4 linked regions of the Tamandua tetradactyla genome follow. The protein of the gene in region 1 interacts with the protein of each later gene in a pairwise test. Links are inferred from orthologs where the notes say so. Each region holds a gene or a part of one and is shown in the gene's direction. Other genes may lie near its edges. The genes, in order: TPM3, THAP1, HSF2 and TNNT1.

What was found.
Region 2: the proteins of TPM3 (region 1) and THAP1 interact in binary tests that used the Homo sapiens proteins (3 or more experiments, as listed by UniProt). The two-hybrid records come from large-scale screens. The link is inferred for Tamandua tetradactyla from reciprocal best matches to the Homo sapiens genes TPM3 and THAP1.
Region 3: the proteins of TPM3 (region 1) and HSF2 interact in binary tests that used the Homo sapiens proteins (3 or more experiments, as listed by UniProt). The two-hybrid records come from large-scale screens. The link is inferred for Tamandua tetradactyla from reciprocal best matches to the Homo sapiens genes TPM3 and HSF2.
Region 4: the proteins of TPM3 (region 1) and TNNT1 interact in binary tests that used the Homo sapiens proteins (3 or more experiments, as listed by UniProt). The two-hybrid records come from large-scale screens. The link is inferred for Tamandua tetradactyla from reciprocal best matches to the Homo sapiens genes TPM3 and TNNT1.

What each region holds. Positions count from the first base shown.
Region 1 is NC_135330.1:7,154,275-7,162,152, reverse strand, and holds the start of TPM3 (tropomyosin alpha-3 chain), read left to right. Parts: upstream 1-4,877; 5' UTR 4,878-4,960; coding exon 4,961-5,077; intron 5,078-5,657; coding exon 5,658-5,783; intron 5,784-5,950; exon of another isoform or gene 5,951-7,878. UniProt on the Homo sapiens protein: Binds to actin filaments in muscle and non-muscle cells. Plays a central role, in association with the troponin complex, in the calcium dependent regulation of vertebrate striated muscle contraction.
Region 2 is NC_135329.1:18,331,016-18,338,205, reverse strand, and holds the start of THAP1 (THAP domain-containing protein 1), read left to right. Parts: upstream 1-4,179; 5' UTR 4,180-4,191; coding exon 4,192-4,283; intron 4,284-6,445; coding exon 6,446-6,641; intron 6,642-7,184; coding exon 7,185-7,190. UniProt on the Homo sapiens protein: DNA-binding transcription regulator that regulates endothelial cell proliferation and G1/S cell-cycle progression.
Region 3 is NC_135331.1:183,474,707-183,482,373, forward strand, and holds the start of HSF2 (heat shock factor protein 2), read left to right. Parts: upstream 1-4,655; 5' UTR 4,656-4,742; coding exon 4,743-4,835; intron 4,836-7,667. UniProt on the Homo sapiens protein: DNA-binding protein that specifically binds heat shock promoter elements (HSE) and activates transcription. In higher eukaryotes, HSF is unable to bind to the HSE unless the cells are heat shocked.
Region 4 is NC_135342.1:4,549,657-4,556,584, forward strand, and holds the start of TNNT1 (troponin T, slow skeletal muscle), read left to right. Parts: upstream 1-3,916; 5' UTR 3,917-4,111; coding exon 4,112-4,316; intron 4,317-4,742; exon of another isoform or gene 4,743-4,890; intron 4,891-6,453; coding exon 6,454-6,496; intron 6,497-6,593; coding exon 6,594-6,607; intron 6,608-6,928. Other genes in the region: TNNI3 (troponin I, cardiac muscle), read left to right, coding at 754-764, 1,006-1,051, 1,504-1,545, 1,862-1,993, 2,291-2,380, 2,809-2,985, 3,670-3,753. UniProt on the Homo sapiens protein: Troponin T is the tropomyosin-binding subunit of troponin, the thin filament regulatory complex which confers calcium-sensitivity to striated muscle actomyosin ATPase activity.

The sequences.
Region 1 (7,878 bases):
GCAGGACATATAAAGGACAGCATAGGCTTTGGAGCCAGGTGTTGATTCATATCCTGGCTTCACCTCTTTATTGTTGTGTATGTTATTTAACTTCTCTGCCCGTCAATTTTCTCTTCTGAAATTGGAGACATCGTGCCATCTCACAGGATCATTATGTGGATTAAATGAGATAATGTATATAGACAGAGTACACAGTAGATACCTACTGTGTACAGTAGGTATCTTCCCCTTCCCATTCAGATTTCCCTGTGACCCTTCATAGTTTCCTTGTTGACCCTCCAGCCAGCACACTCATCCAGATCAAATGTCACTCTCCATCCCATTCTTCTTCCTCTCTCTGTGCTACATACCCATTCACCCCCTAGTCCCTGTCACCACGGTTTCCCAAGCCCCCTTATCTTCAGTCAGTAACTACTCATGGATGCTTACACCCAACAAGACATGGGGCTCACAGGCTGGTGGGGGCAAGCAGACATTGAACAAGTCACAACAAATAGGAGGTGAGTTTCAGGAGACAAAGCCACACACAGCCTGAATTTAACCCACAAATCTGTATGAGTCTCCCATCCTTTCTGCCCGTTCCCCTGCCCTCTATTTTTCAGCAGGCCTATATTGCCTTCACCTCCTCTCTTATCCTCCTATGTATCTGTATCCCAGGCTGTTCTTTGCTTTTCATATAAGTAGTGTAGCTTGGTCAGAAAAACAGATTTTAACATTGAACATATCTGGGTTTGAATCCTAGCTCTGTCACTGGCTGTGTGGTCTTAACTTTTTGGGTCACAGTTGCTTATATGTAAAATGGAGATTATTTCTACCTCATTGGGTTGCAATGGAGACTATATAAAGCAGTTAGCGGGGAGGTGGCACATAATGTCAAATAATGGTAACCCATGATGATGTCTTCCTGCCCTATAATAATGTTCTGTTATTTCCTTTTCATTACCTGGCTGCTCCTACCTAAACCACATTCCTCAGGAACCTCTTTTATTCCTCTGTTCCTCTTTCCTTTGTTCATCTGGACATGCAGAATACCCCACCCCATCTGCCTTGATCCCTGACCTTGGCCTCTCTCCCCAGGGCTTGTCAATGCCAGGCTAGCTCCAGTATTGGCAGGCTGCCCCTCCCAGAGAGCCCCTCTCCTCTGATTCTATTGCTCTACTCTGTCTGCTCTCATCAAATCAACGAAGTAGTTCACCTTCTCATGCCCAGCCAGCCCTTCTTCCATCTGAAACTAGTGCCTTCACCCAGCTTCTCTGGCTCAAAAGGGTTCAGTCTTGTTTGACATGGCTGCAGAAGAGGACCTTGCAGGAGAGCTAGACAACTTTCAAGTCCATCTGATGTGTCTGCCTTGTATGCCGTCCAGTCAAAGTCTCCTTCCTCTAAGAGAGTTGCTCCCCCCCACCTCCGTATTCCCAGGCTGTCCCTCCAGTCCCCCATTTCCCTGAACACTAAAGTCCTTTCATTTCCTTTCCCAGCCTGCCTCCCTTTAACCTCTGGTTATCCAATGTGGTCAAAGTTCTCCGAGAAGGGAATTAGAAATTGGGGGGTGGGTTAGGGAAAGGGAGGGCAAGAAAGCAAAAATTACATGCACCCCCATTGGGAGCCATGAAGGAACAAGGATATAAGAGAACATCACAGGAAAAAAAAAAAAAAAGGGAGAACACCACAGGACAACATCCATGATTAACGGTACAAATATTAAAAAGTACTTTCATGAACTAAAGCAGATAATAATAGAGGGGTATATGGAAAAAAATGTACCTATTACGAACTATGGACTACAGTTAATAGCAATTTTTAATATTTTTTCATAAACAGTAACAAATGTACCACACTAACACTATGGGTCAATAATCTGTGAGGATAAGGAGTATGGGAGGTTTAAGGTTTTCTTTTTTCTTTTTATTTCTTTACTGGGTAACGAAAATGTTCTGAATTTGATCATGGGGCTGTACACACAACCATGTGATGATGCTGTGAATCAGTGATTGTGTACTTCTGATGGGTTCTGTGCTGTATGAATGTATCGCAATAAAATTGCATTAAAAAAAAAAGAGAGAGAGAGAATACCACAAGTGCCTAGCTGGGTGCTGTTAGTCTTCCCCTGGAGGGCAAGAGCCACACAACAGAAATTGACTGGGGCTTGGGGCAGGGTATTGATCCAGTTGAAGGGCAGGGGAGAGCTGGTGTGGGGAAGGAGGGGCAATGGGTATCTGCACTAATGGGAACAAGGACACATGGAACAGGCCCTGAGGCTGCAGCACAGCCTCCTCCCCCATCCCCACACTTCTACCCCAGACCCCCACCCCACCCCCACATACTGGTATAACCCGTGATCCTTTCTGCCACAGTGTAGAGAAGCATCTGCCTGCCACATGACATTCAACAGATCTGATTCTCTTCGGAAGGAAAATCCCCCAGAAGGAAACCAGGCCAGATCCCTGTGAGGGAACACCCTTGGAGAAAGCAGCCCCGGCACTGGTGTTCTTGTGGCAAAAAGTCCTGAAGAAGAGAAGAGGAGGAGGGTCCCAAGGACTTCAGGCTGCTCCCTGGTAGAGGGGGTTTCTTTCCCTTGGTCTCTTAGTCTTAGTTTTGATCCTGCCAGGCAGTGGAAACCCTAAGTTTTCTCCTCTGAGCTTAGGTTGGAGGCTGCCAAACTTGGAGAGATGCTTGTGAGACTAGTTACTCCTCTGTTTTGGACATCCAAGGGTGGTTTTAAGGAAGATGCCTGGAGGACATGGGGAGAAGGTGAGAAGGGACAAAATGTTGGAAAAAAGAAATCAAGCAATTGGGAATTTCTCTGGCTATTTCACTTAAGAGCAGGAGGATGCCAGAATGGACCTCAGCAGCCTTGTGGGGGTGATCTGGAAAGGTTAGGATTTCTATTGAAAAGATATAGCAGGGTATCAAGCCCCTCTGGGATGGAAAGCCTCGGGACACTTGGATTAGAGAGGAGGAGAGCAAGTCGCAGGCTGAGGAGAAGCTGCTGACACTGCTGATCCTCAGAGTCCTGCAGCCGTGACATGAGGGGGAGAAGCTCTGTGGAGCTTTTGAGGAGGATAGGTGCCCGGATGTGGAGCCCTGCCAGGTATCCTCCCTGGTATTAGGGCAACGTGATCCAGTAAAGGCCAGAGCAGTGGAAGGAGAGGAGCAAATGCAGGGATGGCATGAAGAGCTGATGAGCAAAAGCCAGCCATCTAGCTATGATCGATGCCTAGTTCACCTGCACTGCCTGTTCTTTGCAATAGGGAGGAAGGCAGATGACCACCAAAGCTTTCCTGCCCGCTTCTGTCTGATATGTTTGATATTGGGTTGTTTAATTAGAAACCAACTAAATGTCAAACATTCTTACAGCAGTTGGCGATTCAGCATTATACTTTATCCTACCTCAACCTCTGGGCTCTGTGATTCTTAGCTTTTTTAGTGAACCTCTTCTTTCCAGGACCCCTTCTGGATGACCGATTGCTAAAACCCATGATGATTTCAATCTTAAACAGAAGTGTTGATGTGGGAGTGGGATGACAAAGGTGATATAGCTCTTTTCCTTATCTCCTCCTGCCCTTGTATTTTTTTCCTCCTTATTCAACCCCCACCAGCCTGTCTCCCACCTTATCATTTGCTACTCCCTGGGACTCTTTTGTTCCCTACTTCCTTGGGCTTCTATGCTTTCCTTCAAGAAACATCTGATGATCAATTTATCTACTTTTAGTGACTGAAGCCCTCAGAAGTGGATTCCAGCTCTGCCATCTTCCCTGGAGGTCATCTCCGTTTCCCCATTGCTGGGGCTTAGCATTAACACTCTCAATCTAGCTTTGATATAATGACTAATTAGAGACATTTATATTCTCCCCTGATAGCTCTGGTCACCTTGAGCAGTGTCCACCTCTCCCCTGGCGTATTCTCAGGTTGGATGGCGCCAGTGTACTGGGATCAACTGCCACCTGTTAGCAAAAAGGTTCCAAGTGGAAGAATGAACATGCCCTGGAACTGAGCCAGGGAGCACAGAGCTGCTACTGCTGCTGATTGTGATATGAGTGGTGGGGGGTGGGGTGTACGAAGGGCAGAGGGTGAGGGGAAAGAAGAGTAGAGACCAGTAAAACCTTGGTCTGTATGGGCACAAAAGTTCTATTTAAAAGACACTATGAGAAGAAGAGGGTATTATCTTGTCGCGCCCACTCTGACCCTCCCCTGCTTCTCTCCCCACCCTACTTCAAGCTCTGGGATGGCCTTCCAGATTCCAACCTACCCTCTTACTCCATTCCTGTGGTTCTTCGGTGGGGGGTGGGTGGAGGGTGGAGGAAGATGTCCACGCCCCCCACCCCGCCATTTAGGGATTCCCAAAATAACACAGCAATTCGATCTGGGGATCTGGGGGATTTGTCAAGGATCATGAATGACCTCCCCTCTTCATTGTTGCCAAAGCTCCCTGACTACCAGAAATCAAATGATAAAAAAAAAAAACAGTGCAGTCTGATCAGTATCCAGCTCAGTCCGGGTGAGAGTAAGGGAGAAGCTGAGGGGCAATTAGGACTCTGGGTGAAAACTCAATGCCATTCTATAATTTCCAAAGTCCCCTTCTCTGATATCAATGCTATCTCTTCCCCTGGCCCTCTCCCTGCTCTTTTAAAACAACCATAGTGCTTCCCAGAATGAGTGGAAAGTTTCAGGGTTCAGGGAGAGCCTCCTCCCCCACTTTCCATTTTCTAAAATCAGCCTCAGCTGTTCCCAAATTTTTCTTTGCTGGTGATGTCAGTCTATCAAAGTGTCTCACCCTGTGTTCCCCCAGGAAAACAAAGATGGGATGGAGGGAGCTGGAAAGACCATGTTAGGAACAAGAGGTGGAGCTGAGAGCAGATATAAAGGCTCAAGTCTAGGCAACTCCTAGGTACTCAGGCAGCAGCCCCTCCTTTCTTGACCTAGTCTCCAATTCTCCAGGTGAGCCCACCAATAACCACCGCTCATGATGGAGGCCATCAAGAAAAAGATGCAGATGCTGAAGCTGGACAAGGAGAATGCTCTGGATCGGGCAGAGCAAGCTGAAGCCGAGCAGAAACAGGCAGAGGAAAGAAGTAAACAGGTAGGCACTGGCACTGGTCTCACTTACATGCTGGTCAACAAAATAGTGAGACGGGAGAGTTATCATGGGAAAGGAAGAGACCACTGTTGTCACCTTCTTCTTTGGGTAGGAGGGACTTTTTTCTCCAATCTCATTTGAAGGCCAGAGGACATCTGCCTCAAACTACCTGTGTGATGTTGGGAAAATCAGTGGCCCGTGCTAAGGATTTAAGTGGAATGGACCATCTTTTGGAAGAATCCCTGACTTTTAGAGGAAAAGGTGGGAGCCTGGCGTGCAGCATCTCTTTTTCCTTAAATGGAGTCACAGACATTTATACTCTTAGATAATATTTGCCATCCCAGGGTCTTAGATGAAAACCCAGCATGGCTTGGTCATCTTAGGGTCAGAGATTACAAAGACATAGGCCAAGTCATAGCATAACTCTTGGGGCAGGGGCTAAAAATGATGAGAGAGAAATTGTGTCTCTCTGGATAGTAAAATGGTGGCTGAACTCAAGAGTCTATTAGCGTTCAAGAGCCAAGAGTCCAAGGCTGCACTATTATGTATGTGTGTTTTTGTGTGTCTCTCTGGACTCCTGCAGCTGGAGGATGAGCTAGCAGCCATGCAGAAGAAGCTGAAAGGAACAGAGGATGAGCTGGACAAATATTCTGAGGCTTTGAAGGATGCCCAAGAGAAGCTGGAGCTGGCAGAGAAGAAGGCAGCTGATGTGAGTATTAGATGGGGGATGGTGTAATCTCTATATAAAGATGTTCACATTAATGTATGACTAAATTCCACACAGACTTCAACATATACATACTTGTATGTCCACAGAAGACAGAAATATATACTCGCTCATATCTTTGCATATAATAACATGCTAGAACACCCTCATAATGGTATATATATTTATTTTTTTAAGACATATAGAAATCTCATATTTTTTTTTATCTACCCTCATGCCTCCTGGAATTTAATTCTCTTTCCCAGGAACTAGACAAAGGGAAGGGACTCCAAGTCCAGGCTGCTGATACTCTTACCTCCTCCCCCATGCTACATTCTTAGCTTTTGTGTCCAAAACTTGGCACATAGATATGTGTATTAATAGGGAATCTCTCATCTCCCAGCTTCCCCCAAAACAGCTCAGATTTCACAATGGGCTTAAGAGGACACACTGACCCTGGCCCTGTATGGATTTATTTATCTTGGCCAATCTGGACATCTGTCCTCATGCCAGGAGATGCCATAAGGCAGCAGGGAGGTTCATATAGTGTTAGACTATAATAGAAGCTAAGAAGTAATCTTAGGGTATAAGGGTATCACCACCAGACTTTACTCTATGAACCTGAGTAAATCACTCAGCTTCTCAAGGGCTGAATTTTCCCATTTGAAAATGAAATAAATCCTCTTTTCCACTTCATATTATCCTCCATTCACCTAGCTTCCTTCATCTTCAACCTTGAAGTTTACCACAAAAATAAATGAGAGACTAGATAGGAAAGATTCCTGGGAGAAATGTACTTTAGGAATCTTAACAGTGACAGAAGAATATCGTAGTATTGATGGAAACAGTCAATTCTGAGGGAACTGAGTTAACAATTCTCAGAGAACTGAATTAACAGGAAAATAGGAGCATGTGTTACTTGAAAATCATATTTGGATTTGGGAACTAGCTAGAGGGACAGAGTGGGCATTCACAAATAAGTTCAGATCCTTACATTCAGCCATTTTGCTATTAGGTTTCAGATCTTCTCTTTCGATTTCCACTACTTTCAGTGCCTCTAGAAGTGGTAACAGTTGAATATATGATGCCACATAGAAAGTGGATAATATATATTATATATACCCATAGTTTCCAAATGTTTGGAGCTTTGCAAACCACTAATTATCCTTTCTTTAAAAACTGGAAGAAAAAAAAAAAAAACCCAGGGCTTTGGGCGAGTGCTTGATGATCTGCTAGAGTTGCCCGATCTTAGTTTCCAGATAGACTCCCTGGATCCAGTAAGCTGTCATGGGGATAGAAGCTCTCAAAAACTGCCACAATATTAGGTTAATAACATTTTTGTGAGATGTTGGGTATTAACTGTCTGAGAAAGTCCTTATGCTGAAACAGCTAGCATGTGTGCTTGAGATTTTTCCAGGAGTGATGAAAATAATAAAACCAAACAAGTCTAACCTGAGATCTTGGGAGAGGGAGAGGGAAAAAGAGGCTCTAGACAATATAGTCATATTATCAGAAAGATAAAGAAATTTCCTGGGGATGAATATTAACTGTTTCTCACACATACCACTCATACACACACACAACCACGTCACCCCAACCTAGATATGGTCAACTCAGTATATTCATTTGAAAGACGCCTCCTCACAATTATACAGGAATCTAACAAAAACCAATGACACATGTAGAGTGTGGGGACAAAACCTCTCTCCCCTGTGTTAATTTTCCCAACAGGCCAAGAAGTATTCTTAGAGATACGTGAGAGAACAAGAAATAGGACAGGAAGGTTGTGGGTATGAAGCCAAAGTCTGTTCGGGTGGGTTGAAAATGGAAGCAGGAAGAAAAGCCTTCTTTTCTCAAAGCGGGGGTTAGCACAGTTCTGCCTATGGGCTAAATAAGGAAGGGGCAATGGATTTAAAATGGAGAGCAAGAGTTAGAGTCATAATATACGCAGCATAATATATGCATCTTTGGGGGAACGATGCTCTGTCCAGTATAAAGGAAGTTAAAAGCTCAGCTTTTGCCCTTGAGATTAATAAGTAAATAGAGCATATTACCTTGTTGTAAATGTAAGGTGAAGGGAAGGAGGAGGAGGGAGTCA
Region 2 (7,190 bases), on another chromosome or scaffold:
GTTCCCAACTCTGACAAACTACCTAACCATCCCAGCTAAAACAGGTAGTGACTCTCCATTCCCCTAAGTCACCTTTAGAGCATTCTGCTGTATTCAGGCATCTTAGCACAATGTTATTTTATTTACATTTTTACTGACTGTTTTCCCCTCACTAGAATATAAACTCTATGCAGACAGAGACTTTGTCTTGCTGACCAATATATTCTAGACCTAGCATAACATCTGCCACAATAGTAGGGGCTGAATAAATAAAGAGTAATAAATAAACGAAAGGGGGAAAAAAGGCAGGAGAGTACACAAGGAAAGATCACTTCTTACTCCTTCATTGCTTCCCAAGTCACCATTATTTCTCACCTACATCACCACAGCAGCCTTATAACCAGTCTCCTATCCTCCTAGTTGTCCCAGTATCTATACTCAACACAGTAGAGATCTCTTTAAAAGATTGTATCAAACCCTGCTTTCCATTTCACTCAGAGTAAAAGCCAAAGTCCTTACACTAGCCTACAAGGGTTTACATAATCTTGTTCCTTGGTTTTCTCTGACCTCATCTCTCGTCTCCCCCAGTCTATCTGGCTCCAGTTACATAGGCCTCTGTGCTGCTCTTTAAACATTACAGGAACACAGTGACCCTATGAACTCTGCCTTAGCCATTCCCTTTGCCTGCAAGGTTCTTCCTCAGGATACCCTTAGCTCTCTCACCAACCCCAAATCTTTGCTCAAATGTGACTTTCTCAATTAGGCCTGGCCTCTGCATTATATTTAAAACTGTTATCCCTCATCTCCATGTAGCACCTTTCGCCCAACATATGTGGTTGCTTATGTTTCCTCTCTGCCTTCCCCAACCCTCATTAAAATTAATTAGCTCCATGAGGGCAAAAACCTGTTTCACTCACTTATGCATCCCAAACCCCTAGAACTGTGTATAGAACATAGCAGATGTCCAGTAAATATTTGTTGAATCAATTGATGAGTAAATAGTTCAGTGAACTCCGAGTTAAAACGTACTTTTTCAGTTCAGTTATCGCATTCTGACATTTATTGCACAGGGAACCACAGAAGAAATTACCACCCGTCTCAATAACCACTTGGAATGCTAATAAGCTATTATTCTGGTGCTTTTGTATATGGATATGGCCCTTACACTATTTTAGAATTAGTTTCTGGGCCCAGTTGATTCAACCAAAAAGTTCTAAATATTTAATTTATGCAAGACACTGCAAGCTACAAGATTATGAAAGACTCAGTTCCTGTTCTCAACAGGATCATAGTTCTAGTGAAGAAAACAGACGTACACAGAAATTACACTATGCGGGCTTATAACTGCAATAGAAAAATAAGTGCGGGTACCTTAAAATTTTAGAAAGGGTAAAATTCTATCAATTTCCAGAATTGACAGAAATCAGATCAATGTTTGCCAAAGGTTGTGGGTGAGGGAAAGAATTTTCTACAAAGAAGCACAAGAGAACTTCCTGCAGTAATGGAAATGTTCTATGTCATGACTGTAACAGGAACTATGCAACCATATATGTTTTTAAAACTCAGTGAATTGCAGAATTAAATTTTGTGAATTTTAATTTATGTAAATTATACTCCAATAAAGCTGATAAAAAATTTACCTGCAAAAAAAAAACAGGATTTCATTAAAATAACAGAGATGCTATGTGATGATATTGGGAATTACTGATTATATATATAGAATGAAATGATCATAAGTTAAGAAAAATAAATAAAATAATAGAGATGCCTATGGTGAAAAGGACAAAGAGGGTAGGGAAAGTTTGAAAACACTTAGATCACATCTTAAAAGTTGACAGGTCAGGGACAGACATTTCTGGCAAAGGGAAAGAGCCTATTTAAGGAAATCATGAGAAAGCCTACCTTCTGTAAGACATGAAGCTGAAAAACAGTTTAAGGACAAATAGAAGGAAGAGTAGAGAGGAGTATCCAGTCCTAAAGCACTTTGTGTCCCCATAAGTCTGGACTTTATTCAGTACACTGCCAGGGTAGCCACTGAAGGACGTGAGCAGTGGAGTGACATAATCTGTTTCTGTGGAGGACGGACTGAATAGAGGCAAAACCTGACGTTAGGACAGTTAGGTTGCAGCAATAGGAAGGGAAGGAAACTATGTGGGGCCTGATCAAGAACCAGTGCCAGAAGAGATGCAAAAGGATGGATTTAAGAGGTTTTTATTTCATAGGATAACCTGGTGATCAGAGGATGTGGCGGGTAAGAAGGAAATCCCAGAAACTCCAAGGTTTCTGGCTTGACCAACTGAATAGACAATTGACAGATGACACTACTGAAGGCATAACACATATTTAAGAAATAACATATTTGGGATGTCATGGCATTTGATTGAGGTGAAGGAGCAGGGTGTTTACAAGGAGGGCAGAGGATCACATCACATGGGAAACATCACATTTAAGAGAGGCAGAAAGAGGTCTGAAATTACTCAACACAATATCTAGGTTTCCAGACTCTGATCTACATAAAGGAGGGGAGCAAGGAAGAAGGAAGATTAAGACCTTTCTTCAATGAGATAATCGCTGTAGGGCTTCGTGATTTCCAGCACAGCAGCTGGAGATCACTGTAGAAACAGCCTTCAGAAGCGGGTTTGCTTGGTTAGTTGCAACGGAATGGCTCACCGAAGCCAGAGAGGATTAGGCCAAACACGTGGGAGTGTGTGCGTGTTTGGTTTCTTACATCGCTAAAAATTTGTCACCTGGGTTTTCACAGGGCCTTGGGATACCTGGAAAGACAGGTAATAGGACAAGATTAGGGCTCGGGAAAAGGGGTCTGCGAAGGTTTACCAATGATATACCACCCGTGACCATCCTTCAAAAGATGAGCGCAATTAGAAAACCACATCAGCGTTACACTCTGGTCTCCTTTAGGTCCTCGGACCCAAAAGGCCATATTTGTTCCTCATCCTAAAACGCCCCAGGAAAACTCTGGACAAATTTACCCACGGAGACTCCAGGAGTAACTGGAGCTTGGGCCAAGTTCTCGCGCCCCTAGCCTACCCTTCTCCCCTAATCCCTCTTTCTCTCTGCAAAAAAACTCGGGGACCCCGCCCACTTCCTCAACGTAGACCCCCAACGCGCAAGACGTCTTGTCTCAGCCAATCGCCTGCTTCCCAGGAAACGTTACCTCTGACCTTGGAGCTAATCAGTGAGAGTGGAATGAACTCCTCGCGAGAGGTGAAGTTGAAGCTGCCTCCGCCATCTTGGAGATGGGAGACGGGCGATGGCTGTGGTCTTTCTGTTATAGCAAGCAACAGAACGGGCGCGGTACTCATACCCGAGTGAGGCTACCATCACTGTAACTGTTGGCCAAAGCTACAGAAGAAACAAGGGTGTCAAAGCCGAAGGCGGCGACACGGATAGCGGCTTCACCTGCCTGCCGTGACGGCAGAAGTGAACTGACTGAGGACCGGAAGGATGGTGCAGTCCTGTTCCGCCTACGGTTGCAAGAACCGATATGATAAGGATAAGCCCGTTTCTTTCCACAAGTAAGTGTCCTCCGTGCCTCGCGGGACCGGCCCCAGCTGGGACTGGGGACGCGCGATCGGCTAGTGTCGGGGGCGGAGCCCGGCGCGGGTCTGCTTTGAGACTGAAGAGGGAGCGGAGGCAGGAGCAGGGGGCGGAGGCAGGGGCGGGGCGCGCCGCGTCGGGGGCGTGCCGGGCGGGGGTCCTCGTGGAGAGGCGCGGCTCCTGCGCCCGAGCCGCGCTCTTCCGGGCCGCGCGCGTTCGCGGTGCGTTGCCGCGGTGACCGTTACTCGTGGTCGGAGAGGCGCACTTGTGTCGCTTGCTGACGGACTCGTGGTGGCGAGTTCCGAGCCCGTGGGCGAGGCGCCGAGTCCCCTCGGGTGCTGAGATGTCGAGGCTCTCAGATCCGAGCCCTGCAGAGTGAGGTGGCGGTAACTCCTCAGCGGCGTTTTTGAAATAGAAACAAAGACATTTACAAAGACGGTGGACGTCAGTTTTTCGTTCCTGAGAAACTTTCTGTGAATGGGCGGCCAGAATCGCAGCAGTATGGATTCATTTTCTGGCCAGGATTTGAGGGAGCGTTTTATTAATTTTTTATTTAACTCAAAGGAACAACGTCAGGGACTCCTAAGTCTTAGAGGAAAGCTTCTGGTACTGCCACGATAACTGATTGTCTTTTCAGCACACCGTAGTCGTAATATGGACCATAATAAATGCCGTGATAAAGGTCAATATGAGGTACTGTGGGAACATAGAGGAAGCCCTCGCAGCCTTCAGGGCTGTTTTATCCAGTAGGTGCTGCAATTACAACCTTATGGCGAAAAATATTGTCTTCTCAATGGGAAAACTACAAAATCGAAATTGAGTTGATGTTGAATGTCTACAGCGTGGGCCATGACGGCATTTTTATTCAGCCAAACTTAGTATTTACAGATTTTAAATTTACGTTAAATTTTCTTTGCGAGAGCTTCCGAATCTACATAGATAGCTGAGAAATCAGAGCAAATAGTAAAATATCAAAAATTTTTCATATTCAAATAATTACAAAAGCCAAATTTTAAGTATTCTTTGGGGTGGGGGGAAATAGAGAGTGGGGATTACATACTGTTTATGTTTAGTCGGGGATGTGGATGATCTTAATCTGTTTGATATAATGTGAGATTGACGCTACAGAAATGGGAGCCTAGAATGTAGATCTTGAAATGGAAGCTTAGAACATAGATTCACGTAGGAGGGTATAGAATACTTGCAGGATTCAGTTCAGTAGAGCCTAATATCTCTTGATTTATTGTAATCTCAGAACCCTAATGACATTGACTTCCAGTAGGAATAGGTCAGATATAGTGCCACTATCGTTTGCATTCAGCTCCCCATCCACGCATTTCTGTTGATACCTCACCTCAGAGGGAATCTAAAAACTCTTCCTTGGCACTGGAAAGTGGTTAAGGATGACATTCACACATTAGAAACATTGAATTTCTGCTGGATATTAAAACGATTGATTCTAAAGAACAGCTAACTGCATCTCACCCCTTACCTAAACAGTATTTGGGGAAGTAGATGGGAAAGATCTTTTTTTTATGAAAAAACGTTTGTTTTATGATTTTTTTATTTAAAAAAATTACAGAAACACAAACATTCCCAAAATGTGATCATTCCATTCTACATATATAATCAGTAATTCACAATATCATCACATAGCTGCAGATTCATCATCCTGATCATTTCTTAGAACATTTGCATCAATTCAGAAAAAGAAACAAAAAGACAACAGAAAAATCAAACGAAAACAGAAAAAAAAAACATACACACCATACCCCTTACTCCTCCCTTTCATTGATCACTAGCATTTCAAACAATTTATTTTAACATTTATTTCCCCTATTATTTATTTTTATTCCATTTGTTCTACTCATCTGTTGACAAGGTAGAGAAAAGGAGCATCAGGCACAAGGTTTTCACAATCACATAGTCACATTGTGAAAGCTATACCATTATACAATCATCATCAAGAAACATGGCTACTGGGACACAACTCTACATTTTCAGGCAGTTCCCTCCAGCCTCTCCATTTCGTCTTAGATAACAAGGTGACATCTACTTAATGCATGAGAATAACCTGCAGGATAACCTCTCGACTCTGTTTGGAATCTCTCAGCCATTGAGATGGGAAAGATCTTGACAGAACCTCACACACAACCTGAGAATTTGTACCTTGGTTCAGGAGGCCATATGCAGCAGGGACCCTCTTAGAAGTACCTTTTCTCCCAGTTTAAACTTGTTGACAGCAGGATGAGCTGTGCTGGACAAAGAGGGGCGATTGTCATTAAGATCAGTTCGCTCTTAATGATAATAGCAGTAAGGCCCTGGCATACCTTAGATGAAAGAGAAACTGTAGAATAGAATATAGGTTTGAAATATGCTTTTTTGGCTTCTTTGAAATCCTCCGGGTTTACTAGATCTTTGACCTGGAAAATAAAATTACAGTAAATTTAAATTCTTCTTACCTCCCTTTATCTGGGCCTAAGGGAGATACTCCATTTACTTAAGAAGTAAGTCAAAATAAAGACATAATTTTCTTTATTTCTTTATCATTATCATTCGCCTATAATTTGATTAATTCAAATTCCATCTGTTCATATTTATCAGATTAATTCTTGAGAACTAGAAGAGTTTTCTTCCCAGCACATAGATATAAATGTGCAACTTTATTTTACAGCACACACATACGTACAGAAAATTACTGGTATAAACAATACTACAAATTCACTTTATGACAAGTATATTGTTTGAGACTTTGTGTCTTCAAATAAAGTTAACTTTAATCAATGAGCTAAATAGATATATGGAGCTATTCTTTAAACAAAAGTTCTTTAGTATGTTAACACCAATGTAAGGTAGTGCTTTTTTTTTTTTAATAATGTCACAGAACTGAGTTATGTCATCTTCTTAGGTTTCCTCTTACACGACCCAGTCTTTGTAAAAAATGGGAGGCAGCTGTGAGAAGGAAAAACTTTAAACCCACCAAATATAGCAGTATTTGTTCAGAGCACTTTACTCCAGACTGCTTTAAGAGGGAATGCAACAACAAGTTACTGAAAGAGAACGCTGTACCCACGATATTTCTTTGTACTGAACCACATGACAAGGTAATTGTGTTTTAAAATATTAGGTGCTTTCCTGTTTATAAAACTAATGTATGTATTGTGGGAAATTTGGAAAATTCAGAGTAATGTTAAGAAAATAAATACTACCTAGTACCCATTACTTATAAATAACTACTATTAACAGAAATATACTGTTTAAAAACATAAGATGCAGTTTATTAAATAAATATTTTCTTTCTTAGAAACATATATTGACTTTGTAACTTAAAGATCATTCTATAACCCTTCTTGTATGTTGGTAAGTTTGGGTTTTTCTTTATCAGCCCATAGTCTTTTGTTCCTCAGTTTTAAGCACTTAGTACATATTTAATTAAATTGAAGTGCTTGTTCTGCCTGTTTATTGCATCATGCTTTACTTCAGGTAGGAAAGTATAACTAAAACTTAAACTGTTTTCTTGTTTTGGACAGTTTCGCTAACCATGGACTCACATAGCAGTCTAATATCTCTTAAATTTTACAGATTAATTCTTTAACCTGTATTTTTAGTTACTCAATTCAAACATAACTCTGCATTGTTGTTTTTAGAAGGAA
Region 3 (7,667 bases), on another chromosome or scaffold:
TATCATTAAAACATAAATAACCTCAAACCTGGACCTCCTATAGCAATCTATCAATGTCCGTCATTTCTAGGATTCTGTTACTTGCTCTTCTAATAGTTCCCAGGTCATATGTCTCTCAGTTGACCTACCCTTAAGCTCTCCTTTTCTTAATTTTCTTCCCTTATAAACAACAAGTTTATATGGATTGACATTTAATAACTGTATGGGGTTTTCCCTCTTATTAGGCAGAGTATTTTTTTCCCCAAGGGTTTCAAAAAACTGAAATTATTCATTCAACCCATATTTATTGAGTAGCTACTTTGTCATTAGCTGTGCTTTGTGCTAAGAAAAGAAAAGTGAACCTTTTATTCACTCTGCTGGTCTAGTAAGGGTTGCTGAAAAGTAAATAAGCAAGAGAAGTGTGGTCAAATTCCACAAGCTATGATAGCATATGGGAGGAATAACGAATCTAGCTTAGGAAGACTAAAGGAATGTTTAGCACATACCTGGCTGGATGATGGTGCCTAGTTCTGTTCATATATTCATTGATTAATTCAATAAGTTGTACCAGGCTGTCTGATAGCCATTATAGATAAGTAGATAGAAATAAACATAAATATGACATAGTCTTTACGTTAAAGTTTCATACTTTAGTATAAGAAAATACATGTAAACAAATCATTACAATAAGATGTGGTAAGTGCTGTAATAAAGGTCACCTGGGAAGATTTTCCAAAAGAGGTGACCTCTGCATAGACTGTACTTGAGGTGGTTAAGGAGAAACTTGAGGTGGAAGTGGGTAGGGATAAGGCTCTCCAGCTAGAAGCAACAGCTTGTAGAAGTACACAGAAGTGTAAAAGAGCCTGGTCATCAAGCAATTGGGTGTGGCTAACTGTGAGGTGTTTGTAATGAATGGTAGGCCTTGACTGGGATAGTAGGTGGGGCAAAGATAACAGAAAACCTTTTATGCCATGCTAAGGGGGTTGGGTTTGTTCTGAAAATTACGGGAAACCACTGAAAGGTTTTAAGTCTGCAAGTGACCTTTTCAGACTTATAGAAAAATATCTGTAGAGATTGTGAGGGTGAAGCGGAGAAAGAAGCTATTTATTTGATCCTGACAACCATCCTGTGAAGTAATTACAGCAGATATTTTAATTAACATTTTATATATAAGGGACTAGGGCTCAGAGATGCTAAGTGGCTTGCCTAAATTCTTCTAGGTCATTCCAGAATTGAGGAAAGAGAACACTATGTCCAGATAGGAATGTAGGCGGAAAGTTCTATGAGTTTACCATTAGTTCAATCATCCCAGCCTTGAAAATAATCTTAAAAAACTGATTCTAGTTGCACTACTGATTCTAAATTTGACATAACTGATTGGATGGAATTTATAGCAATCTGAATCAGCTGCTTTAAAGCATCACCTTGCTCCATAATATGTTTTTCTATTTCTTGGGCAAAGGCCTAGGTCACTTGTGTTTTCTAACATTATTTTAAATTTTCTAAATCTTAAACTCCATGCAAATGACCCATGGAAATAGTCCAATATTTTTCTTTGGAGTTAATAGAAGATAACTCACTTTAAGAAACTGATACTTTTACCCTCTAATATTTTAAACATTTCAAAACTGTCGGCACTGCCTCAGATCTGTTTCTTCTGATATTTGTGGAACATTTTAGGTGACAAATATTTGTGAAATAAAAAGGTTGACTTGTTTTTCTTACCCTTTCAGTTTTACAAATAAGAAAAAGCCAATAAATTATTTTCTTTTCCCCAAACATGTCTCTAGTAAATAAAGTTTTCAGAACATGTTATTAATTAGAATAAAAGTTAAGAATTAAGTACACAGAAAAATGAAACAGTAGGTGGTTACAATTATTCCTGGAATGTCTAGATTTTGTTAAGAGGTAACAAGTCTGTACATGCTAGCAAGAAAAGGTCAGTTAACTAATTTTGTCTCTGTAATAGCGGTTCTTATAGGTATCCCAGGAGCTAGCAGCACTTACATTACCTAGGAACTTGTTAAAAACGCAAATTATTTTTAATTTTCTGTACTGAAAAATTTAATTTTCTGTATGGAAAAATTTAATATTCTGTACTGAATCAGAAACTTGGAGGTAAGAGGGAGGCCTAAAGGTGATCCTCATGTAGGATAAAATTTGAGACTCACTGGTGTAAAGGAAAAAAGCGTATGATTTAAACTAAGAAAGATATGGTTTCAGTTCCTACCTAAGCTCTTTTAGTTTGCTTATGCTACCAGAATGCAATATATCAGAAATGGGTTGGCTTTTATAAAGGGGATTTATTAAGTCTACAGTCCTAAGGCCATAAAAATGTTCAAACTAAGGCATCCAGAGAAAGATACATTGACTCAAGAAAGGCCAATGGGGTCTGGAACACCTCTGCTAGCTGGGAAGGCACGTGGCTGGCCGTTGCTGGTCCTTTGACTTCTGGTTTCAAACAGCTTCCCTGGGGACATTTTCTTTCTGCATCTCCAAATGTCTCTGTCTATGTCAGCTCTGAGCTCTCTCCAAAATGTTCCTCTCTTAAAAGGACTCCAATAAACTAAACAAGGCCCACCTTGAATGGGTGAGGTCACATCTCTAATCAAAAGGTCACACCCATATTTGGGTGTGTCACAACTCTATGGGGACAACTTAATCAAAAGGTTACACTCCACAGTATTGAATCAGGATTAGAAGAACAAGGCTTTTCTGGGGTTACATCACTTTCAAACTAGCACATCAACCATGTGGTTTTGAACATGTCGTTTAATTTCCCAGAGCCATGGCTTCCTTATCTGGTTAATAACTTATGCTCTTAGTTAGTCTTATGAGTATTAAAAAACTACCTGTGTCACTTGTTAATTTATTTATTGGCCATCTGCCATCTCCAAACAATCCAGATGCATGCTTAAGAGAATCACTGGTCTAGAGGATATCACAATTTTGCAGGGCCAAGTGTGAAGTGAAAATGCAGGGACCCTTGTTCAAAAATTGAGAATTTCTAGGTGGTGATAAAAGCACTAAACCAAGTGCAGGGTGCTACTACACATGGAGCTCTATATGACTGCACAGATCGAGGAGATCTACAACATACAATCTTGTACGTACATCTCGTAGTACAATTTTGTACTACAAAAGCGGAACGAGTGATTTCTGCCTGCATCAACCCACAACTTTTCTTTAGATGGAATTTAATAGATAAAGCCATACAAGTAGGCTAAAAGCAGCTCTAACCACCCACCCAGATTACCAATCTAGCCATTGCCCACCATAGATAGACCATGCTCAAAATGCCTTACAGGCAAATTAATTCACTTTGGAGCCAGAATGTTCACTGGAAAAAATGGATAGTAAGATCTAGCTTATTGGGTTACTGTGAGGATGAAATGAAATAATATATGTAAAGCCCTGGCATATATAGGCACTTATGAAATATTAGTTCTTACATTCCCCTCTCCTTGACACACATGATTTTTGCTTCAGAAAACAGACCAGTGCTGAATACAAAGGCAATATTCAATAAATAATTAGTGGTTGATGGAAAAATTCATCAGAAGATGTACAAATTTTATTTTTAACACATTTACATGTACCCAGAAAGTAAAACAATCCTTTGTTGAATATTTTACAAAATGTTAACTATCATCCCTGACTGGTTTGTAAATTCTTATATTTCCATGCTGACTTTTTAAAGTATAATTTGGTAGAATACTTGGTATTTTCAAAGCATTTCACATCTATTAGGCTATTAAAGTCACTAATAAGGTTGAAAGAACAAATATTCTTATTCCCAATGAAGAGATGGGGTAGACTGGGCCAGATAGATTAAGAGACTGCTCTGAATTACACACCAGGGTAATTTAGTATACACAAAGCTGGGTCTGACATTCAGATCTGCAGACTTCTTGTTCAACATCTTTCCATTAAACCAAACTACCTCAAACAAGCAAAAGTATACCTGTAATATATATACAGGAACTTTTTTTTTTAATTGACTACAATAGTATGAATGAGGCTATTTCTTTCCACGCCGAGCTACAGTGAGCTCTGGAAGTTTGCTGAATGGAAAAAATACAAGATGCTTATGACAGCTCCTGGCTCATAATAATAGCTGCTTAGCAATGAATGAGTTTTTTTTTTTAAATAAACATTTTAAAGGAGCCACTTCCTCCCAATGAAAAATTAAGGACGAGGACAAGGTTCATTATTTTTAGGACTGTTTCCATTTGGGGCCTAGCACATCATGCTGAAACTACTGCCTCCCGTGGTGCAAACCACACTTTGCCTGCCAAACTTATGACTCAAAGGCCCTTTAGGGAGTTTTCACAGGATCGCAGCCACAGCCCGGGAACCCAAAGCTGTCCCCACGAGAGGCAACCAACCAGCCCCCTAAACCTGAGGTCCGCTACGCGAAGCGCTCCTTATAAAAGGCGAACGAGCAGGCAGCGCCCCCTTCTGCTCCCACCCCTTTACGTCTGCGACACCCAATCGCTTTACGGTGTCGCCGCGATCGGCTCCTGGGATTGGCCAGGAACCGGACTGGCGGGGGACCGATATACGCGGGTCCAGCGCTGAGACTTGTCCGTCACGTGTGGCAGCCGGGCCTCCCCGCGCGCCTGCCGCGGCCGGCAGTGGGTGGGGGAGGGGGCGGGGCCCGCGCGCCGCTGCGCCTGCGTGGTGGGCGTTCTCGGCGAGCAGCTGCCGCTGCCGCCGCCGCGTTCGGGGCTAGAATTCGGAATCCCTGCGCCTCGTTAACAATGAAGCAGAGTTCGAACGTGCCGGCTTTCCTCAGCAAGCTGTGGACTCTCGTAGAGGAGGCCCACACCAACGAGTTCATCACCTGGAGCCAGGTACGGGCCGGGGCACGGCGGCCTCGGGGACCCCTGAACGGCCGCCTCCTCTCTTCTCCCTCACCTCGGGTTTGTCTCCCGCGGCCTGCGGCCCGACGCGCTCTGCGAGGCCTGGGGCGGCGCGGCGCCTGGGCGTTCGCCCGCGAGGGGGACCCCTGGCATTGTTCGCGCGGGGTGCCGCGGAGGCAGGGCCGGGCTCCGCCGCCTCAGGCCGCGGTGGGGGAGGGGCGGCCCGCGCGGGGCCCGGTAACGGTCCGGCCGGGGGCGCGTTCGGAACCGGCGCGGGAGGCGGCGGCCGGGAGCGCAGGAGCACGTTCCTGCCCACGCACCCTGCGTGCGCCCGCGTGGCTCGCCGAGAGCCCGGGGTCGCCCGCGCGGGGCTCTGTCGGGGGGGATCTTCGCCTCGGCACCTGATTCTCCTCGCAGAAGCGCGCACGGCGCTTTACGCCCGGCGTCTGCGGAAAGGAGGCAAATGTTCAAACCGAGGTTACTGCGTTCCAGTAGGTTTTTGAAATATTACGTTGAAAGTGAAAAATGATTCTTTGAGGACTCTCGGCCTTTTGTACAGCTTTTTAATGATTGTTTTAATAGAAGTGTGACTAGACGGGTGATTCAGTAACTTAGGAGCTAAAATGAATCACCAAATTTCACTCCACTTTACGAGCTGAGTGATACATGAATGTCTTGATTACTGATTTGATCCCAGCTCTGCCACTGAACAAGGATGACCGGAGTCGAGCCCCCAGGCCTGCCTCTTATCAGGATGAGTGGGTTGCCTAGGAGAGATGGAAAGCCCCTTCCAGTTCCAAATACTGAGATTCTAAGAGTGGGTAGATATTTACATCAACCGTGCATTTACGTTAGGATCCACTCCTAGGCTGTTGGGATCAGTTTGTACTGGGAAGTAGATTTCTCCTATTGTGAATAATCAGTTTGGGATATTTTCCTGTGTCGAGTTCTGGAGAAAAGTAAGTGAAAAACTACCTGCACAGTGCCTGGCACTTGTTATGCTGAGTCAATGTTATATCCCTTCCTCCCTTTTCCCCCCATCAGGAAACACAATATTTAGTACATGTAGTTTGGGATACTGTAGCACCACGTTTTGCCTTGTATTTCTGTCATTTGTCCATTTTTTATCTCACTCCTAGGATTTAATTTTCTTGAGGTCAGTATGGTCACCTGGGTCATCATTTTAGCCCCGGGGGACCTAACGTTATATCCTATGTTCTGTTCTTAAACATTTGATGAATTCTGTACAATTCTACAAAGAAAGATGGAAGTAAGGAAGCCAGGAGCCAGCATGTACTTAAAAATAAGCAGATGTCTCATGCTTCTCATCAGTCAGAAGGATTAAAAGTTGACAAGAATGGATCAGCACAGGCTGCTGTTATTCAACCATGTGTTCATGATAGAGATTGGACTGAGATTCTCCACCACACTCCACCCTCCCCCAACTAACTTGATCATACCGTTTTGGTTTGTATAAGCCTTATTTTTGCTGCCTAGAAATGTTTCCCAAATGCGTTGGTTTTATTTAAAGGATATTATGTCAGTGGCAGGTCTAATATATTCTCATTAACCAAAATATCTTGATAGTATTCTTATTTTATGGAAAATGTCAAATGTGGAGAGTTTCATACTAATTCATAAATACATCATTTATGAATAAACAGTCACGTAAAATCATTCTTGTTTGTCCTGTTACTAAGTCTAAACTTAGCTTTAACTATGCATTTTCTAATACACCAATGGGATAATTAAAATTTGAACTCCATGAGGGAAGGAACGGTGTCTATCCCCGTGATAAAATAGGTGCTTAGTAAATGTTTGATGCATGGATGAAATCCCCATAGTAGATGTAATGGAAGTGGTAAGAATGATAAAGATAGAATTATCCCTGAAAAGAATCTAAGAGATCATCTTGTTTAGCATTATCCTTAACGTAGATGAGGATTTGAGGCTTTTTACAGTGTTTCGATTACTTATCCATTACACAGCCAACCAAGATTGGAGGTAAGACTCTAACATAGATGTCCTAGCTTCCAAATAGGCTTTCCATCAGCAGCACTACACGTAATGCCTGTTGGTAGGATATCTAGGTTTATACCAAAATGTTGTTCCTCCACTTTCACAAGTCTGTGGACAACTCTGGATAAATCCTATCTAGGACTAAACTAGTTACTTAGGGCTGCGATCTCTCACTGTTGCTCTTGGATGCGTTTTTCTAAAACCCATGTTAACACTGAAAGGTAAAATTTGAATTAAATAGTGATGTTAGATGGAAGAACAAATTAAGCTGCTCCCATTTTTTAGAAGTTGCTATTTATGGTTGCTTCTGGATTTCTTCAGACTCGTTTTGCTAAACTTACTGTTGAGGTAATTTAACATTTATACTATCTAAGAGAAAATATATTAAGTTTTTTTTAGACGCAGCAGATGTTTTGGAAACCAGGCAATCAATCGTCTATGTAAATTTTTTCTAGTCATGAAAAATAATTTACTTGTCTAGCTTGAGTGCAAGTCAAGGGGAGTAAACTACTAACTGAAGTTTTGAAAGCTTAGCTTAGTATTTCTGAAAACTTTAAGATAACTTTAGTTTTCCTTGAAACATATAATGGGACAGAATTGAAAAGTGAATTTCTCATCATTAAATGTAGAAATATATCCTGAGCAACCAAAATTATTATACTACATGTTTTGACCCTAAAATAATAGAAACATCTATATATTCAGAATGCCTTTAAGAAAACATATACTGTGCATATTTCACTCATTCCCATAGTCTTCCCATGGAAGTTGCTTTTTTTTTTTTCCTTTTTTCTTTTGGGACAT
Region 4 (6,928 bases), on another chromosome or scaffold:
GGCTCTCCTGCCCGGTCGGCCCGGCCCCCAACAGGTTCCAGTAAAGACAGCTGAGTGCTCTTCTCCGAGTGTCCGTGTGTCTTTCTGGCGCCCAGGCTGTCTCCAGCGGCTGGTGGCGGGAGGGGCCTGGGGAGTGAGGAGGGGAGACCCGAGACGAGATTTCCACGTGAACTGGAGCTGGCGTCTGAAGGGCTGTGGGGTGGGCGCCGGGACCCCCACGCCTGGATCCACAATGGAAGAACTTCCTGAGGGTTTGGGTGCTGACCCGGACGGGAAAAGATCTAGACTAAGGTCTAGCTGTCATGGGGCTTCTGATCACGCCTCACCCCCACCTGCCGCCACCCACCGGGGATGGCCCCCCTTCCCCCTCCCCGAAACCCCCACTTTGGAGTCCTGCGACGTCCCCTTCTAGAGGACATTGCATTTTACTGAGGGGCTGGGGGCCTGGACTGCCGGGTCTGCTGGGCGAGGGGGCCCCGGCCGCCAAGGTTGCGGGGAGATCCAGCTGGAGCGCGGCCAGCCCCGCCCCTCACGCGCCCCGTTATCTCGCATCCTGGGCAGAGGGAGGAGGCGGCGCAGTATATTTAGTCTCTGTCCTTCGTCCTTTATCTCAGTGTCCTCGGGACGCCTGAGCAGCCAGAGGGACCCGAGCGACCCAGGGACCTCCAAGGTCACCCGGGCGCCCCCTCACTGACCCTCTGAGACCCCTGGATCTGTCTCTTGGCCCTCGCAGATCCGGGCCTGAGACTCGGCATGGCGGATGAGTGCGTGAGGGGTGGAGGCCCGGCACCCTGGGGTCCCGGGCTGGAGACGTGGGGGCCGCGTCCCGGGTCCCTGAGCGAGGCGAGGGACGTCTGTCCAGAGGTGGAGGGGAGGGAGCCGGACGCCTGGGACCTAATGAAGGGGGAGCCGGTGGCACGACCTCCGGGTCAGAGGGGCCCTGGGGTCGCTTAGAAAAGGAGGAGGCGCGACCCAAGTCCCTGTCCCCGGTTTCTCTCCCTGCAGGGGCAGCGATGCGGTGAGAGCAGCAGGCTGGGACCGCGAGGCCGGGGTAACCCCTGGGGAGGGCTTGGGGAGGGCAGGGTGGCACCCCGGGGTGACGCAGCCCCGCTCCCTCTACCCAGGGCCCCGCGCCCGCCCCGATCCGACGCCTCTCCTCAGCCAACTACCGCGCCTACGCCACGCAGCCGCACGCCAAAGTGAGGGGCCCACGCAGCGGCGACGGCGCCCATGGGGGTAGAGGGGCCTGCGGGCGGGGGCGGCGGGGACTGCGCCCCGCGGAGGCCGGGCTGGGACTGGTGGGCGCCGCCTCGGGGGCCCCCGGCTGACCCACGATGGAGGGGCGGGGCGGGGCCGGAGCCCCGGACGGGTGGGCCCGGCTGAGCTGCGTGGAAACCCGCACCTGCCTGGAGCGCGCGCGGGCTGCAGCTCCTCCCTCCGCCTGCCCCGGGGCCTCCTCCCTCACCTTTCTTTGCTCCTTCCCACCGCATGTCACCGCGGCAGAAAAAGTCCAAGATCACCGCGTCGAGAAAACTGCTGCTGAAGGTGAGGGGACAAAGCGGTGCTCGGGGCTGGGGGCGGGGGGGGGGGCGGGACTCGAGAGGGAGGGAGTGTGGGGCTTGAGAGTGGGCTTCGGGCGCCAGGGGCGTGGTTTTGGACCGAGTGAGGGCGGGGCTCGCGCGTGGCAGTGCTGAAGGGGCGTGGCTTGAGTCAGCACCCCCCACAACCGGGTTGAGGGGGCGGGTCCCTGGAGGCCCGAAGACAGGGCCTGGGATGAGAGGGCAAGGCAGAGGCGACTCCCCCCGGGGAGAGCCTTCATCCGGCCACCCGGGTGGGCTGCGGTCCCCCTGCCACCCCGCAGACTCTGATGCTGCAGATCGCCAAGCAGGAGCTGGAGCGCGAGGCGGAAGAGCGGCGCGGGGAGAAGGGGCGCGCCCTGAGCGCCCGGTGCCAGCCCCTGGAGCTGGCAGGGCTCGGCCTGGCGGAGCTGCAGGTACTGGCTGCCGGACATGGCTCCTACGCAGCCTGGGACCCTCCGGACCCGGGCTCCGGTCTTGCACCCCTGGGCACTTGGGACAGTCACTCTCACCCCTTCTGCTCAGGACCCTCAGACTCTCTTGGCTCCGAGCACCCTTTGTTTGGATCCTCTTTTAGGATCAGATGTCCAGGGGCCCAGTCTCCTCCTTCCTAAACATTCAAGAGTCTGCTCCCCCAGCCCCTCCTGTGTCAGACCCAGGAACTCAGGCCCCCAGCGTCCACCCGCCCCCCATGCACCCTCCTTCTCCACCAGGACTTGTGCCGACAGCTCCACTCCCGCGTGGACAAGGTGGATGATGAGAGATACGACGTGGAGGCAAAAGTGACCAAGAACGTTAAGGAGGTGGTGATGTTGGGCCGCTGGGGTGCCCGTCAGAGCGGGGTGGGATGTCTTGGGAGAACCTCTCGCAGCCCCTTTTGGTTGCAGTCCCCGGCAGACCCGGGAAAACTGTGGGGACCTGGTGGGGAGGAGACAGAAGGATGAGTATAAAATGGCCAGGAAGGGGTGTTCCTGGCAGAGGGAGCAGCCTGTGGCAAACCAGGCAGCAGTCGGGATGCAGAAGGTGCGATGGTGGGAATGTGTGTCTGGAGCGGGAAGTGATAGATCAGAGAGAGCTTTGCGTTCCAGGATGAGGAGTTTGGATTTTGTCCTGAAGCCAGTGGGAGCCTGAGCTGGGGACTGGATGAAGCCTGGGTACTGCAAGGCAGGGGATGTAGGTGGAAAAGCCGGATGACAGGGTAGTCAAGGGAAGATCCCCATGTGGTTCCCAGATCGCAGATCTGACCCAGAAGATCTTCGACCTTCGGGGCAAGTTTAAGCGACCCACCCTGAAGAGAGTGAAGATCTCTGCGGATGCCATGATGCAGGCGCTGCTGGGGACCCGGGCTAAGGAGTCCCTGGACCTGCGCGCCCACCTCAAGCAGGTGAAGAAGGAGGACACGGAGAAGGTGAGTGTGGTGCTGCGGTCCCTGGGCTCTGGGGGTCAGCAACCCTACGGCATAACCCAAGGAGGTGGTGCACGGAGTCTGGGGTAGAAGCAGCTGGTAAGGGGTCCTCAGTGCCAGGTACAGGAGGGACATAGGAAATGCAAGAGGAAGACAGGAAATGTTACAGGAAGAGAGGAAGCATCAAGGAGGCAAGAAGTGCAGGACGGGGTCAAGAAAGCAAAAACAAGTTAAATAGAAGAGAAGTAAGCAGGGGGGCAGGAAGAGGGAGGGGCAGACAGAAAGTATCATAGAAGAGAGAAATTATGCACGGATGTAAGAGCAGGGGGACAACAGGAGAAGCATGAAGGATACAGGAAATGCAGGAGGGAGACAGGACATGCACGAGGAGAAACGGGAAGTGCAGAAGGGAGATAGGAAGTGCGTGAGGGGAAACAGGAAGTGCGTGGGGGAAACAGGAAGTGCGTGAGGGGAAACAGGAAGTACATGAAGGAAAACGGGAAGCGTATGACGGAGACAGGAAGTGCATGTTGACAGACATTGTTTGAGGGGGCAAGAAATGTTCTCGAATCAGGCCCTTGGACTGGCATCCAGTGTAGAGCCACTCGGCAGCAAGGAGGGCACGTGGGGTTCCTTGAGGGGCCAGAGGTCAGGGAGAGACCCTAACTTCTGGTCCCGTTCTCCCAGGAAATCCGGGAGGTGGGAGACTGGCGCAAGAACATCGACGCGCTGAGTGGAATGGAGGGCCGCAAGAAAAAGTTTGAGGGCTGAGCCCGCCTGCCCGCCAGCCTGGCCCTGAGGATGGCCCGAGGAATAAAGCTTCTCTCTGAGCTGGGAGTGGTTGCGTGTCTACTCCCCCAGGACTTCCGCGTGAGATAGACAGGAGAGTCCAGGGCACGGGCAGGGCGGGGCTCGCGCTCCGGGTGCTGTCGGCCCCTCTGCTCTGGGGGACAGACACACAGACACAGACAGAGCACACCGGCGGAGTCAGGCAGACGGAGGGGCATAGAGAGAGAGAGAGAGCAAGGAAGACACGGAACCATGGAAAGAAGTGCAAAGAGAGACAGCCATATACACACAGGGAGGCAGAGGCGGTGGAGACCCGCTAAGGGGCAGAGCTAGAGAGCCAATGAGGGAGAACTGCCGTCACCCAGAAAGACAGAGCAGGGGACACAGAGTGACCCACACCTGGCCCCCACAGAGGCAGATCCAGAGTCAACAACGGGGACATCGGGGCAGAAGCAGTCAGAGAGACACACAGAGTGGGAAACCACAGAGGCCCAGAGAGACCCGAGACACAGATGCAGAGCCAGGAGATTCCCCGAGGGGACAAGGTCAGGGCTGGGCCGGGAGGGCAGGTTTACCCAAGCCGATCCCTGTCAGTTGGGGGGGCGGGGGGCCGAGGTCACGCCAGGCCCTATGGACACTGCCCCCCCCATACACCTGCTTCCCAGCTTTAGGCCTGTTGTCATCAGAGTGGAATCCTGGTGGAGGACAAAGCAGTGGGGGCGGGGAGAGGGAGACAGAGGGAAGCACTGAGGAGTGGAGACAGACACACAAAGGAGGACACGGATGGCAAGCAAGGTTTGAGAGACGGAGGCCCAGAGACATGGGGAGGGCTGCGCCCCACCCAGCCCTCCCTCCAAGGGCCTCCTATGTGTAGGTCCAGAGACTTCCAGGCATGGGGTGACACAGAGCCCAGCGGGGAGCCCAGGGGGTGGGGGAGGGGCCTGGACCCTGGCTGAGGAGCCTGCCTCGGAGGCAGGGCGCTAGTGTTTGAGGGAAGGAATGCTGCCCCCCCAGCCCCCCCCAGGGGCGGGGCCCATTGGGACTATAAACCCGTGGGCTGCCTCGGTCCTTCGGCAGTGGTCAGCTCATCCCTTTACAGCATCCGCAGACCCGCCTTAGGTAAAAGGGCCCTGGGGTCTCCCCAGGACATGGATGTCTTTGGGGAGGGGGCAGCAGAGGGGCGGCGAGGTATGGAGGGAGAGGGGACATGAAGATGGAGATCTGAGAATTTAGGAGGTTCAGACTTTACTTTAATCCTAAAGTATTAGGATTGGGTGGTTCTGGGGATCTGGGGGGCACCAGGATTTGGATGCTCCAGAAATTAACACCTTAAGAACTCAGAGGTCCCAGAGGCAGGGTGGATCTAAAAAATTGGGGGTGTCAGGACTTGGAGGACAAAAGGTCTGGCTATCAGAGTTTGGGGTATCAGGCCTGGGGGTTCTCAGAATCTGGGGTTTTATGATGGGAGTATTAGCGTTTGAGTCCATGGAATTTGGGAGTTTCACGAACTGAGCATCAGGGCTTTGGGGTTTCATCATCTGTACTGGCTCATTATCTGGAGTACCCAGAATTGGGGCGCAGAACCTGGAGATACGCAGGGCTCAGAATCCAGGGGCGTCATGAATGAATGGGGTTTCAGAATCGGGGAGGACTGGGATTTGGGGAGAGGGTGTCTTCTTTACCTGGGCACCTTGGAACCTGGGGTAGCTCAGAAATTGGGGGGGGGGCCTAAGTATTTAGGGGTTAGGATGAGGTCATAGGCAGGAGCTGCCCTTGATGATCCCCAGTGGCGGTGGACGAAGGTGAAGAGGGGAGACAGGTGGGAGGACCCCCAGCCAAGTGGGGTGCAGGGGAGGTGGGGGCAGGGTAAGAGGTATCACCAGTCCTGCCAGAAGCCCCCCATTCTCGCATCCCTTATTAGGAAATGTCCTCTGATTCACAGTCTACGCCAACCCTCAAAATAGCCCTTGGGGTGGGGCAGCTATTGTCTTCAGGCCACTGTCCCTTCCCAAATACCTCCTCTTAATCCCAGCTCAGATCAGATTCCCCTGGACCTGTCAGGAGACAAAAGGGGACAGCTGGGGTGGGGGCGGGGGCTGCACGGTGGGTGGTGCCTGGACCTGCAGGGCCATCTTCCAGAACCCGTGCTCCTCTGCCGCTTGGGGGTCCAGGCCCCAGCCCCTCCCCCCTCAGGCCCGGGGGGGTCCCTCTGCCCCTCCTCCCTCAGACCCAGGGGTCTCCCAGCCCCTCCCCCCTCAGACCCGGGGGTCTCCCAGCCCCTCCCCCTCACACCCAGGGGGTCCAGGCCCCTCCCCACTCAGACCCGGGGTTCCTCCAGCCCCTACTCTCTCACACCTGGGGGGTCCAGGCCCCAGCCCCTCCCCACTCAGACCCAGGGGTCCCCCAGCCCCTCCTCTCTTACACCCGGGGGTCCAGGCCCCAGCCCCTCTCCCCTCAGGCCCGGGGGTCCCTCTGCCCCTCCCCACTCAGACCCAGGGGTCCCCCAGCCCCTCCCCCCTCAGACCCGGGGGTCCCCCAGCCCTTCCTCCCTCACACCCGAGGTTCCCTCAGCCCCTCCTCCCTCACACCCGGGGATCCCCCAGTCCCTCCTCTCTCACCCCCGGGGGTCCAGGCCCCCAGCCCCTGCTTCCCTGCGACTCCGCTCCTCTCTCTGGTCCTCAGGTCACCCCAAGATGTCGGACACCGAACAGCAGGAATATGAAGAGTGAGTGGCCTGGCGTGAGGGGCGTCGAGACCCCCCACGACACACCCCTCTAACCCTTTCCTCCGTTCTCTCCCCCCACCTCCCACCCTGCCCCCAGGGAGCAGCCCGAAGGTGAGTCGGGAAGGGACGGCCTTAGGGTGGGGTCCGCGTGCCTCTCCGCCAGTGGGAGGGGGGCGAGAGCAGGTGCGGCCCCGCCCCGCCCCCGCCCCCCTGCAAGGGCCCCTCCCCGCGTCGGAGCCCCGCCCCGCCCCCGCCCGCCTGCGAAGGCCCCCTCCCCGCGCCGGAGCCCCGCCCCGCCCCCGCCCGCCTGCAAGGGCCCCTCCCCGCGCCGGAGCCCCGCCCCGCCCCGGGCCCCGCCCCCGCCCGCCTGCGATGGCCCCCTCTCCGCGCGCCGGAGCCCCTGACACCTCCACCTCTCTGCCCCTTCCCCAC